Coturnix japonica: one gene and its partner. The protein of the gene in region 2 interacts with the protein of the main gene of each other region in a biochemical or structural test. Links are inferred from orthologs where the notes say so. Each region holds a gene or a part of one and is shown on either strand. Other genes may lie near its edges.

Region 1 (5,689 bases), on a different chromosome or scaffold from region 2:
CCTGCTGCTTTACCTTCAAGGCCTTGTTTCCTTTGTTGGGGGTCGTCATAACACGGCAGCCACGTCAGTCAGGCTCTGGAAGGGAAGGAGGTCAGGTTAGTCCCTGGGTTGGTTCTCAGCAGGGCCAGAGCAGCCGCACGGAGCCCCGCAGCAACACCCCGCACTGGGGCACTCCCACTGCCCTCCCCAGGCAGCACTCAGCCTGACTGCATCGGACTCACAGTACAGCAACAGATTCTATCCCTGAGCACAACCTGCTGCCCTCCCCCAGCCCTATGACCACGGAGCCTTGTAGCAATGCTGCTTTTTTGTTTGGGGTGTGGGGGGGAGAAAATTAAAAAACTAGGAGGAGCCAGAATACACGGAAGCCACATTATTAAAAATAGCCTGGCAGCAGCAGCCAGGTCCGGAGCACGCCTGCTCAGGGCCAGTCACGCTGACTCAGCACGGCAGCAGCCCGCGCCTCTGCTCCCAGCTGCATCCTCACAGCCCCTGAGCATTGCACAGCAGCACAGCCCCACGCTGTGCACCCGCTGCCCAGCACAGAGCTGCCCACAGCGAGTCCTGCCAGACCCACGATGCTCCTGAGGACACAGCCTGGCACAGTCCAGGAGCACAACACTGCTGGTGAGTGGAGGGGATGGCCTCACCATCACGGTGCAGCTGCTTGGTGCTGAACACCACTGCTCCTATCCAAAATGCTGGTGCTCCCCAGCAAAGCCAGCACGGCTGGGTTACAGTCTGAGTTCTGCACCTGACCCTTCCCGTGGGGAGGATGGGCAGCCCAAACCCATGGCTTGATGCTGGGGCACACGGGAAGCCCATAGTTGATCTGGGGATTCCTCAGCAGCCCTCCCTGCTCTTGTCACCCAAAGCCGACCTACAGCCGTACACCCTTCCCACTGAGCAGTCCCTATCAGCCCCAGCAAAGCCAGGGCTGCACCAGCTTCTCCCCTCTTTATCTTCAGAGCTGAGAGATAAGAAAACAAAGATCGAGGGAGGCCAAAACCAGAGGGGAGCAGACTCCTTCACTGCCAGGGAGGACAGCATTCCAGGTCTATAACAGCAGCTCCTGGGGCTGTCTTCATACAGAGACATACCTGGGCTCCTGCTCCTGTCCCTATGCACCTCCTCCCCTCACACCTCGGGTCAGAATTCCACTGCACCCCAACAAACTGAATCCTCAGCAGCCACGTCTGTCCCACACAGCCCGGCACTGCTTCCTGCAGCAAGGCCAGCACTGTCTGTGTGCAGGTGCAGTCCATGAGTACCTTTGTACCTTCCGTGCCAGCCAACAGCAATTCCGTTCGCTGCTCTTTTGTTTGCTAGACGTAAGAGGCAGAGCTGCAGCCAAGACCCAGCTGTACAGTCAGCAAATACGGCTTTCTGCTCCTCCAGCAGCTGCAGCTCAGGCTCCCGCAATGCGCCCGGCGCTGACTGCTAGAGGTGAGCGGGATCAGCGTCCTGCAGGACACGGAGCACACCAGCACAATTCAGATGTTCCCCCAAGGCCGGAGCCTGCCAGGAGGCAGCTATTTATACCCAGAGGACAATGTTCCTTGCAGCATGACGGCCGTGACAACCCGACAGCGTGGCCGTAAGGGTCACTTTGCCACCGAGGGAGGCGGCTGCATTGAGGGGAGCACATGCAGACTGCAGCCTCCTGCAACCAGTTCTGTGCTTTCCCGTGCTGTTATTTCTCTTTCTTTGCTCTGTTTCCTCCCCCCCCCCCCCACCCTAACAAACAAAATGGCTGCTGGAAAAAGGGGCAGATGGAAGAGAATAACTGGGGGGAGGCATAACACCGGCCCTGAGGAACCCTCTGACCGCACGCTGGGGTCAGTATGGCTGCAGTAATGTGTGCCTGCAGGGCTGAATGGTTCCCTGCTACCGGGAAACACTCAAACTTCCTTCATTGTAGCAGAGCTGGGAAAAACAAACACTGGATGGGGCTGGGCACAGGTAGAGCAGCTCAGGGTGCAGGGCAGGAAACTCACACAGCCCTGAGCTCAGAGCCTGTGCTCACCTTGCACCTCATACTGTCATTTCTGCTGAGAGAAATTGATAAACGCACAGATAGAGGCACTAAAGGACGGGTCAACCAGGGCTGCTGTGCTGAGAGAGAACAGAAATGAGAGGAGCTTGATGGGGGGACACGGCTGGGATGAGTGCAGGGACACAGAGCTGTGATGGGGGTCAGGGAGTGCTCCCCATCCTGAGCCACAGCATCGCTGCTGTGGGACACGAGGCTGCAGTGTCTGTATCCGAGGAACTGGACAGTGCATGTTGTGTGCTGGGGGCGGCTCTGGGACGGGGCTGTGCCTGAACGCAGCACCAGTTTGGACCCTCCATCCCCTTCCAGAGACACAGCAGAGCACGGACAGCACGGGGCTGTTATGTGTGAGGGGGGCAGCAGCTGAGCCGGGGGCACACACCGAACCAGCCTCATCCCGGCTGTGCAGCCCGTTCATTGCTCGGCTTTTTAGAGGCTCCCGCAGATCGCACTGCAAAGTGCCCAACGCTTTGACTGCAGCAACAAAATGCCGCCTCAACACATTGCCCGGCGCTCAAAAGCCCTGAGCTCAGCACGGCCGCAGCCAATTCCCCCCCGGCGCGGAGCCGTTTCCCCGTTCTCTCCCCGTTCTCTCCCGGTTCCCTCCCGTTCCCCATCGCGGCGCCTCGCCACGCGCGCACTGTAAACACGGTGACGTCGCCGTGGCGCGGAGCTCTCCTTCCCCTCCCCCCCCGGTGCGGGATCCCGTTCCCGTTTATCCGTGTTGTTATTTTGTTCCCCTGACCCCACGCGGCCCGTCCCGCCGCTCACACACCCCGCACTTTCCCCCGTTAAAGCGGCTCCGCCGCCGCCCGTCCCGCGGGATCCCGGTGACCCCACGGCGATGCCGGGAGGAGCGGAGCGGCCCGAGCCCCGCGGCGGGTGAACCGTCGGGAAGCGCCGCGCTGCGCCTCCGGCCTGGCCAGCTCCACCGGGCACCGGGACACCGTGTGACCGAGCGGGGGCTGAGCGCCGGGCGGACCCGGTGCGGGGCGGGGCGGGCGGAGCGGCGGGGCCCCGCGCACCTGTTGCTCGGCCGCGGCGGGGACCGGGCCGTGCGCGCCGCCAACCGGGCGGTGACCGGCGGCCACGGAGCCCCCGCCGTGAGTCAGCGCCGGCCGCTCCCGCCCCGCCCCCGGGGACCGGCCGCCGCGCCTCGCCGCCCCGCCTCGCCCCGCCCGGTGCCAGGGCCGCGCCCGCCGCCCGCGCCGCGCCTCCTCCCTTCGGTGCCGCCGCCGCCGCCCGCCCCTCACCGGCCGCGCTCGCTGCGGTCACGTCCTGACGGAGCCGTTGGACCGGGCGGGGCGGGGCGGGGCGGGCAGGCCGCGCTGCACGAACCGGGACCGGGACCGCGAGCCGCCGCCGCTCACGGACGCGTCACGTGATGTTTGGGTCACGTGGCTCCATTCATGAAGCGCCCGGCGCAACCGCCCCGCGCCTTAAAGGGGACGCGCCGGGAGGGCGGGAAACGGGGCGGGACCAGGAATGGAACGGGACCGGGACTTAAAGGGACCGCGGGGATGGGAACGGCCGCGGTGTGAGCCCAGCAGGGCGGCAGCACCGAGCAAAGCGCGATGGATAGCAATGGGCAGCAATGGATAGCAATGGGCAGTAATAGATAGCAATGGGCAGCAATGGATAGCAATGGGCAGTAATAGATAGCAATGGGCAGCAATGGATAGTAATGGGCAGCAATGGATAGTAATGGGCAGCATTGGATAGCAATGGATAGTAATGGGCAGCAATGGGAGCTCCGCTGCCGTCGGGCCTTTGTTACCGCCCCACTTCGGCCCCGTCAGTTCTCATTTGTACAGACACGGCTCTGGGGCGTCCGCAGCTCCAACCACTGCAGGACTGAGGGGACAATGGAGCTGGGCCGGGTGAGCGCTCAGTGCCGGGCTGTGGGACGGCGGGGACACGGAGCTGCGTCCACCCAACACAACCAGGAGCCGCCACGGGTCCGATAGAGGAATGGTTTATTCAAGGAGCAGAAAGAGCAGCAGCCACGTCACACCTACACGGCCTTGTCCCAGTACCAACTGACACAGCACCGCACTGACACTGCCAGCACCTGTGGAGTTCTCTGCATTGATCCCCAAATGCTTTTCTTGCACCACACACATAGACGCTCTGGGTTCCTAAGGAGGAACCTCAGTGTACATCAAGGTAGAACAGGACGACACTGAGATCCACCCAAATCCCTTCCATCCTCCCCAGCCCACAGCTCCCACTGCAGCCCAGCAGCAGCTACCGGGGCAGTGTGAACATTGGGTGCTGCTTCCTGGTCCAGGACAGGGCTCTGGAAGAAGAGGGAACTCTATGGGGATGGTGGCTATAAAGAAGCCATAGAAAGCTGCTGTTGTGGGGATGACTGCCAAGAATGCACCCTGAATGAATCAGTGTGGCTGAGGGGTTCACATTGACCCTCTATTTAAAGTCAAAGCGGATGGGAAATGAGGCAGAGGCACTTTGGTCCCTGGTGAGAAGCATATTAGAACCCAGCCTCAGCGCACAGCACTGCATTGGTGTGACAGCAGCTGCTCTAGCTAAGAAAAAACAAGAGATGAGCTCTGAAAGCAGATGGAAGATGGGGAAAGAGGGATCCAGACCTGACTCAAACCTTTGAGACTGAAAAGCAGTTGGAAAGTTCTTAAAGATTCTGCTACCAACTGTTTCTACACGGGACACAATAAATGCTACCTCAGTTCTGAAGCATCAAAGGCTTCTGGCAAATAGTGCCCTTGACAAAGCTCTGAGTATGGTGCTCCCCATGCCCACAGTGAGCAGCTCTGCGCTGCCCCACGGCTGCTGTAAGCTGAGAGTCGGGTATGGAAAACACCAACATTCAGCGTGAATGTTTTCCTTAGTCAAAAAAGAAAGGGCATAAAGGGAAGTGATGGTCAGTGCAGCCAGAGTACAGCAGGACGGCAGCCTGCTCAGTTCTTCTTGCTGCTGGGGTTCTTACTGTTGAACAGACTGACTTTGTTGGTAGATGCCACAGAAAGAGAAGGAGACTCCAGCTTCACCTTATCCAACAAAGTCTTCTTTATGGCTGCTGGGGAGATCTTCTCCTTGTCTGCCAAATGCTGCAGCTGCCTGCCATGGGGTGGTAGAAGAGAGAGATGGTAAGGAATAGAAAGAGAGGAGTGTTGATGGCTCTTAAGGATTTCTCAGTGCCCACCTTGTTCGGATACAGGAAGCCTCCACAGCATTGATGAGCAGGGAGCGAAAGCCTCCGCTCTCCAGGAAGTGCAGGGCATGAATGGTGGCTCCCCCAGGGGAGCAGACGTTGTCCTTCAGCTGACCTGGGTGCTGCTCTGATTCCAACAGCATTTTGGCAGCGCCCTGTGGCGAGGAATAGAAAACAACAATCAGAACTCTGTATGTTTGTTGAAATATATTCAGTAAGGGAACTGAAATCATTTTAAACTATAAGACTATAAAACTAGAAGGAGTCTCAAGAGCATTTTGGAGGAAGCAATACTAACCAGCAAAGCCTGGGCTCCGAGCCGAACAGCCAGCCTACGGGGAAGCCCCATTTTCACACCTCCATCAGCCAGAGCATCCAGGGCAGTGAAAGCCTGAGATCAGACAGAGGAAAAAAGGGACTGAAAGTCTCTATTCTGAGACCGGTGT
Region 2 (5,777 bases):
AACTGCTCTCCTCCATTGGTTTCCATATGACAAAGCTCGATGCACCCACAGATGGGAGCAATGAGCTGAATCCAAGCCCCACTGCTCACAACAGAACCAACCCACACATGGCTGGGGAGATATTGAGGCTGAACACAAAGCAGAGCCAAAATGAGGAGCTCCCAGCAGGGCAAGGAGCTGGATGGCATCACAGCATCTAAAAGGTTCCACACACACAGACAGATACATAAACCCCATTCTATTTCACCTCCTCCCTGCCCCTGTGTGATGAAAACCAAGCTAGAAACGTCTCAAGCTGGATCAGCTCCAAAGCCCAGTAACCCAACCTCCCTCCTGCTACATGGGATGAAGCTGTTACCCAACGCATGTGTTTATATCCCAGCGTTATTTGATCTATTTCACAACACAAAGTTATGGGCACAGTGTGTAACGCCCACCCCCAGCCCATGGCCCAGCTTTCAGTATCACTTTCTAGGCTGAAAACAGCAAATAAATGGGGTATTGGATCTATGGGGGTATTGGATCTATGGGGGTATTGGGTCTATGGGGGTATTGGGTCTATGGGGGTATTGGGTCTATGGGGGTATTGGGGTCTATGGGGGTATTGGGTCTATGGGGGTATTGGGTCTATGGGGTATTGGATCTATGGGGTATTGGATCTATGGGGTATTGGATCTATGGGGTATTGGATCTATGGGGGTATTGGATCTATGGGATATTGGATCTATGGGGTATTGGATCTATGAGGTATTGGATCTATGGGGTATTGGATCTATGGGGTATTGGATCTATGGGGTCCATAGCAGAGCAGCAATAAAAGCAGAGCAGCACCATGAAGAGCTCAGAAGCTTCGACCCCATGCCATGCCCATATCACACAGCTCACATTAAACACCACTCCATTTGATAGATAGCATAGAATCCAACACAAGACACAAGGAGCCACTTACCTCTTTAGTCAGGTCCCCATTCACCGGGGCAGCCACAGCTCCCAGATCCTCCAGCTCCTCCCCATATCCCTGCTCAGCCCCGTTGTCCCTCACGGCACCATCAGACCCGGCTCCATCCTGCAGCCCAGCACCGTTATCGAGCGTGATCCCAGCGTTGGGTTGGGAGCCTGATACTGAACCTTCAGGATCCCGATGAACCAACCAAGCGTTGACTTCAGTTGTAGGTACTTGAAACCTGTCCAGAGCCCTGACCTGGTTGAGCAGCCTTCGAGTTGTGAAGTAATAGTCCAAATCGACGCTCTTTGGGTGGATGCCGTACCCGTCTAAAGTGTTTCTTAGGTTGTGAAATTGGGTTTGTGTGTAGGCAGAGCTTTGACCGAGGATGATTTCACGGAGCTGGGGGAGCTGGGAGTTGAGGTAAGTGTCCACGTCCACACGGACACCGACGAGGCTGAGCAGGATGGTGAGTTGGATGAGGCCTTCGGTGAAGTATTTCTTCAGAGAAAGCATTTCTGGAGGGGGAAAGAGAGAGGAAACAAGTGGGAGGTGAGGAATAAAGGAGGAATAAAGGAATAAAGGAGGAATAAAGGAGAATATAAAGGCAGCAGGTGGATTCTGCTCCCAATACCTCGCCTGGCTGCTTCCTCCCCCCTGCCCGACTTTAACACAAGCAAAACAGCAACAGTTTCAAGAGTCCACAGCAATAAAACACTTTAAACTATGGGACGATCCCAGCTCTGATCCCAATACAATAATCCCATAGATACATGGGACGATCCCAGCTTCCCTTTCCAGCTCCGAACCCTCCAGATCCCAATACAATATCCCTATAGACACATGGGATGATCCCAATACAATAATCCCATAGACACATAGGACGATCCCAGCTCCGATCCCAATACAATAATCCCATAGATACATGGGATGATCCCAATACAATATCCCCATAGACACACAGGATGATTCCAGCTCTGATCCCAATACAATATTCCCATATAACACATGGGATGATCCCAGCTTCCCTTTCCAGCTCTGAACCCTCCAGATCCCAATCCAATATCCCTATAGACACATGGGATGATCCCAGCTCTGACCCCAATACAATATTCCCATAGACACACAGGATGATCCCAGCTCTGATCCCAATACAATAATCCCATAGACACATGGGACGATCCCAGCTCCAACCCCAATACAATAATCCCATATAACACATGGGATGATTCCAGCTCTGATCCCAATATCCCCATAGATACATGGGACAATCCCAGCTTCCCTTTCCAGCTCCGAACCCTCCAGATCCCAATACATTATCCCATATAACACATGGGATGATCCCAATACAATATCCCATATAACACATGGGACAATCCCAGCTTTGATCCCAATACAATAATCCCATAGATACATGGGACGATCCCAGCTTCCCTTTCCAGCTCTGAACCCTCCAGATCCCAATACAATATCCCTATAGACACATGGGATGATCCCAATACAATATCCCATATAACACATGGGATGATCCCAATACAATATCCCTATAGACACACAGGATGATCCCAGCTCCGACCCCAGTACAATAATCCCCTATAGACACATGGGACGATCCCAGCTTCAATCCCAATACAATATTCCCATATAACACATGGGACGATCCCAGCTTTGATCCCAATATCCCCATAGACACATGGGATGATCCCAATACAATAATCCCATAGACACATTGGACAATCCCAGCTTCCCTTTCCAGCTCCGAACCCTCCAGATCCCAATACAATATCCCTATAGACACATGGGATGATCCCAGCTCCAACCCCAATACAATAATCCCATATAACACATGGGACGATCCCAGCTCTGATCCCAATACAATGTCCCCATAGACACACGGGATGATCTCAGCTTCCCTTTCCAGCTCCAAACCCTCCAGATCCCAATACAATAATCCCATATAACACATGGGATGATTCCAGCTCTGATCCCAATATCCCCATAGACACATGGGACGATCCCAGCTCCGACCCCAATACAATATTCCCATATAACACATGGGACGATCCCAGCTCTGACCCCAATCCAATATCCCATAGACACATGGGATGACCCCAATCCAATACCCCCATAGACACACACAAGCCCCCCCCACTTACTGCCCGCTGTTCCCACATGCAGCTCCGGTCCCTCTCGGTCTCTCCCGGTTCCGATCCCGGTTCCTCGTCCAACCGAACCGGTTCCGATCCCAATTTGTCCCGCTGTGACTCGGTTCCTTTTACCGCAGCTCAAACCACCCCGTGTTGTTCCCTTAAGGCCCCATGTTCAGGCCCCGCCCGTTGTGGGCCCGGCCCGGTCCCACCCCTCGTTATTCTTAGGCCGTTGCGTCAACTCCCCGCCGCCCTCAGGCCTCACCGTGGGGGCTCCCCCCGGTTTAGGCCACACCGGGCCTTAAGGCCTCTCCCTCCACCCCACCCCGGGGCCCTTTAAGGCCTTTAAGGCCCTTTAAGGCCCTTTATGGCCCCTTATGGCCCTTTAAGGCCCTATGGATCCTTAAGGCCCAGTGACGCGGCCCTGTCCGCCCCGCCCGCCTCTACCCGCTCTCCGCCGCCGCCGCCTCCTTTCCCTCACAACTAATCCCGCCCCCCCCCCGAGGCTCAGCCAATCGCCAGCCGACTTTAGGAGGAGGGATGAAGCAGTGAGCCAATGGGAGGGGGAGGGGTGGAGGTGATCCCGCCTATGTCGCCGGGTGGATGGGCAGGCGAGGGAGCCAATCGGAGGCAGAGATGAGCATGGAGAGCCAATAGGTGAGGAGAAACAGCACAACGCCCCCACCCACCGAGTCGATGAAAGACAGGCTAATCATCCAATAGAGAGCGAGACTCTAGCCGAACGACAGCTCCAACTACCAATAAAAACCGTCCGGAATGTTGACTGACAGCGCGCACCAATCCCGGCGGAAGGCCGGAGCCGGGCCTAGCGCCTCGCCAGTCTATAGCCATCAATAGGGAGCTGGTGTTAAAGCCCTGCTGCCATAGGGAGGGTCCATAGTCTATATCCAGTCTATATAGGTAATATAGTCTATATAGTCAATAGGGAGCTGGTATCAAAGCCCTACTGCCATAGGGAGGGTCCTCAGTCTATATCTATATCCAGGCTATATCAATCCCAGTCTATATCCATCAATAAGTCAATATGGAGCTGGTATTAAAGCCCTGCTGCCATAGGGAGGGTCCCCAGTCTATATCCAGTCTATATCAATCCCAGTCTATATCCAGCCTATATCATTAAGTCAATAGGAGGCTGGTATTAAAGCCCTGCTGCCATAGGGAGGGTCTATATCCAGCCTATATCCATCAATAAGTCAATAGGGAGATGATATTAAACCCTGCTGCCATAGGGAGGGTCCATAGCCTGTATCCAGTCTATATAGGTAATATAGCCTATATAGTTAACAGGGAGCTGGTATTAAAGCCCTGCTGCCATAGGGAAGGTCCCACAGTCTATATCCAGTCTATATCAATAAGTCCCACAGTCTATATCTATCAATAAGTCAATAAGGAGCTGATATTAAAGCCTTACTGCCATAGGGAGGGTCTATATCCAGCCTATATCCATCAATAAGTCAATATGGAGCTGGTATTAAAGCCCTTCTAAGGCCCTTGTTCACAGCTCACTGTTCCCTCCAGCAGAGCTGGGGGTCAATAGACAACCAGCCCAGCCCTCCCACACCAAGACCAGCCCCATTTACTGATCACCCCCTACCTGGGAGCATAAAGCACAGGATGGAGCCCAGGTAATGCTGGATCCCAGCAGCTTCAATGGCACAAACTCCAAACTGATCTGCAAAACAACCTGCAAACAAACACCTCCAGATATTGGGGTGCGGCCCCAGCCCACGTTGTGCTGCAACCTACAAGTGATGAGGTAATAGGGGCAGGTAGGGAGGGCACAGCCCTACAGCAAACCCTATAGCTGCCAAAGGCTCCCAATGGGGATATACCCCCCCACACCCCCCCAGCAGCCCCTCACCAGCTCCAACCCAACATTAATAACATCCAGGGAGCCCTTAAGCACTAATGGAGGCGAATGGATCCATCAGTCCTTCACTGTGAGCCCCTGGGCCTCCCCCAAACCCCCTCTGCTCCGTCCTAATTAAAGCTCCTATATCAATTAAAGCCTCGGTGCCAATTAAAGCCTCTGCACCAGCTCAGGTTCATCTCCAGGTGCCTCCAGCTGGGGCTCACAGGTCACCATCCCATGAGCATTGTATCACCCTATATAGAGCATTGTATCACCCTATATAGGCATAAGAGGGTCGTGACCCCCATATCAGCATATCACAAGGCAGCTGGGACATCATAGGACCCCTAAAGGGCCCCAAAAGAGGCTGAGCCCATTGGGGTGGGCTCTTAGAGCTCTGTGAACCCTAGACCCCCCCAACCATGGGTGCCCACAGCTATAGGGGCTATAGGGGTTCACCGCTGACTCCCTATAGCCGCTCCAGGAATTGGGCTGTTTTGCATAATTTTGCATATTTTTGCATATCTCCTCCCCCTCATTATATACATTCCTTATATGGTAAATGGCCACGCCCCCTTCTCATTTAGCCCCGGCTCCATCCGCGGTCCTGCAGCGCCCCCTGCCGGCAGCACGGCGTATTGCAGGGGGTCTATGAACAACCCCCCCCTCCTTTTGGGGTGGGGGGCCTCCGAACAACACCTCCCCCCTTTTAGGGTGGGGGGACATGGGGACAAAGCGATGGTGGCGTCACATCCGTCCCTGATGGGGACATTGTTCTAAGGGAGCTTTAATTCTCTCCTTCAACAGCTGAGCC

The links. The genes of interacting proteins can lie anywhere in the genome.
Region 1: the proteins of NFE2L1 (region 2) and MAFG form a complex in vitro, tested with the Homo sapiens proteins (2 studies listed by BioGRID and IntAct, with this or other methods). The link is inferred for Coturnix japonica from reciprocal best matches to the Homo sapiens genes NFE2L1 and MAFG.

Annotation. Positions count from the first base shown.
Region 1 is NC_029533.1:4,418,771-4,424,459, reverse strand, and holds the start of MAFG (transcription factor MafG), read right to left. Parts: upstream 3,466-5,689; 5' UTR 3,307-3,465; intron 3,098-3,306; exon of another isoform or gene 3,079-3,097; intron 1,705-3,078; exon of another isoform or gene 1,272-1,704; intron 1,247-1,271; exon of another isoform or gene 1,101-1,246; intron 1,076-1,100; exon of another isoform or gene 222-1,075; intron 76-221; 5' UTR 50-75; coding exon 14-49; intron 1-13. Other genes in the region: PYCR1 (pyrroline-5-carboxylate reductase 1, mitochondrial), read right to left, coding at 4,990-5,149, 5,235-5,398, 5,542-5,634. UniProt on the Homo sapiens protein: Since they lack a putative transactivation domain, the small Mafs behave as transcriptional repressors when they dimerize among themselves.
Region 2 is NC_029542.1:3,428,690-3,434,466, forward strand, and holds the start of NFE2L1 (endoplasmic reticulum membrane sensor NFE2L1), read right to left. Parts: upstream 3,521-5,777; 5' UTR 3,100-3,520; intron 1,462-3,099; 5' UTR 1,460-1,461; coding exon 950-1,459; intron 1-949.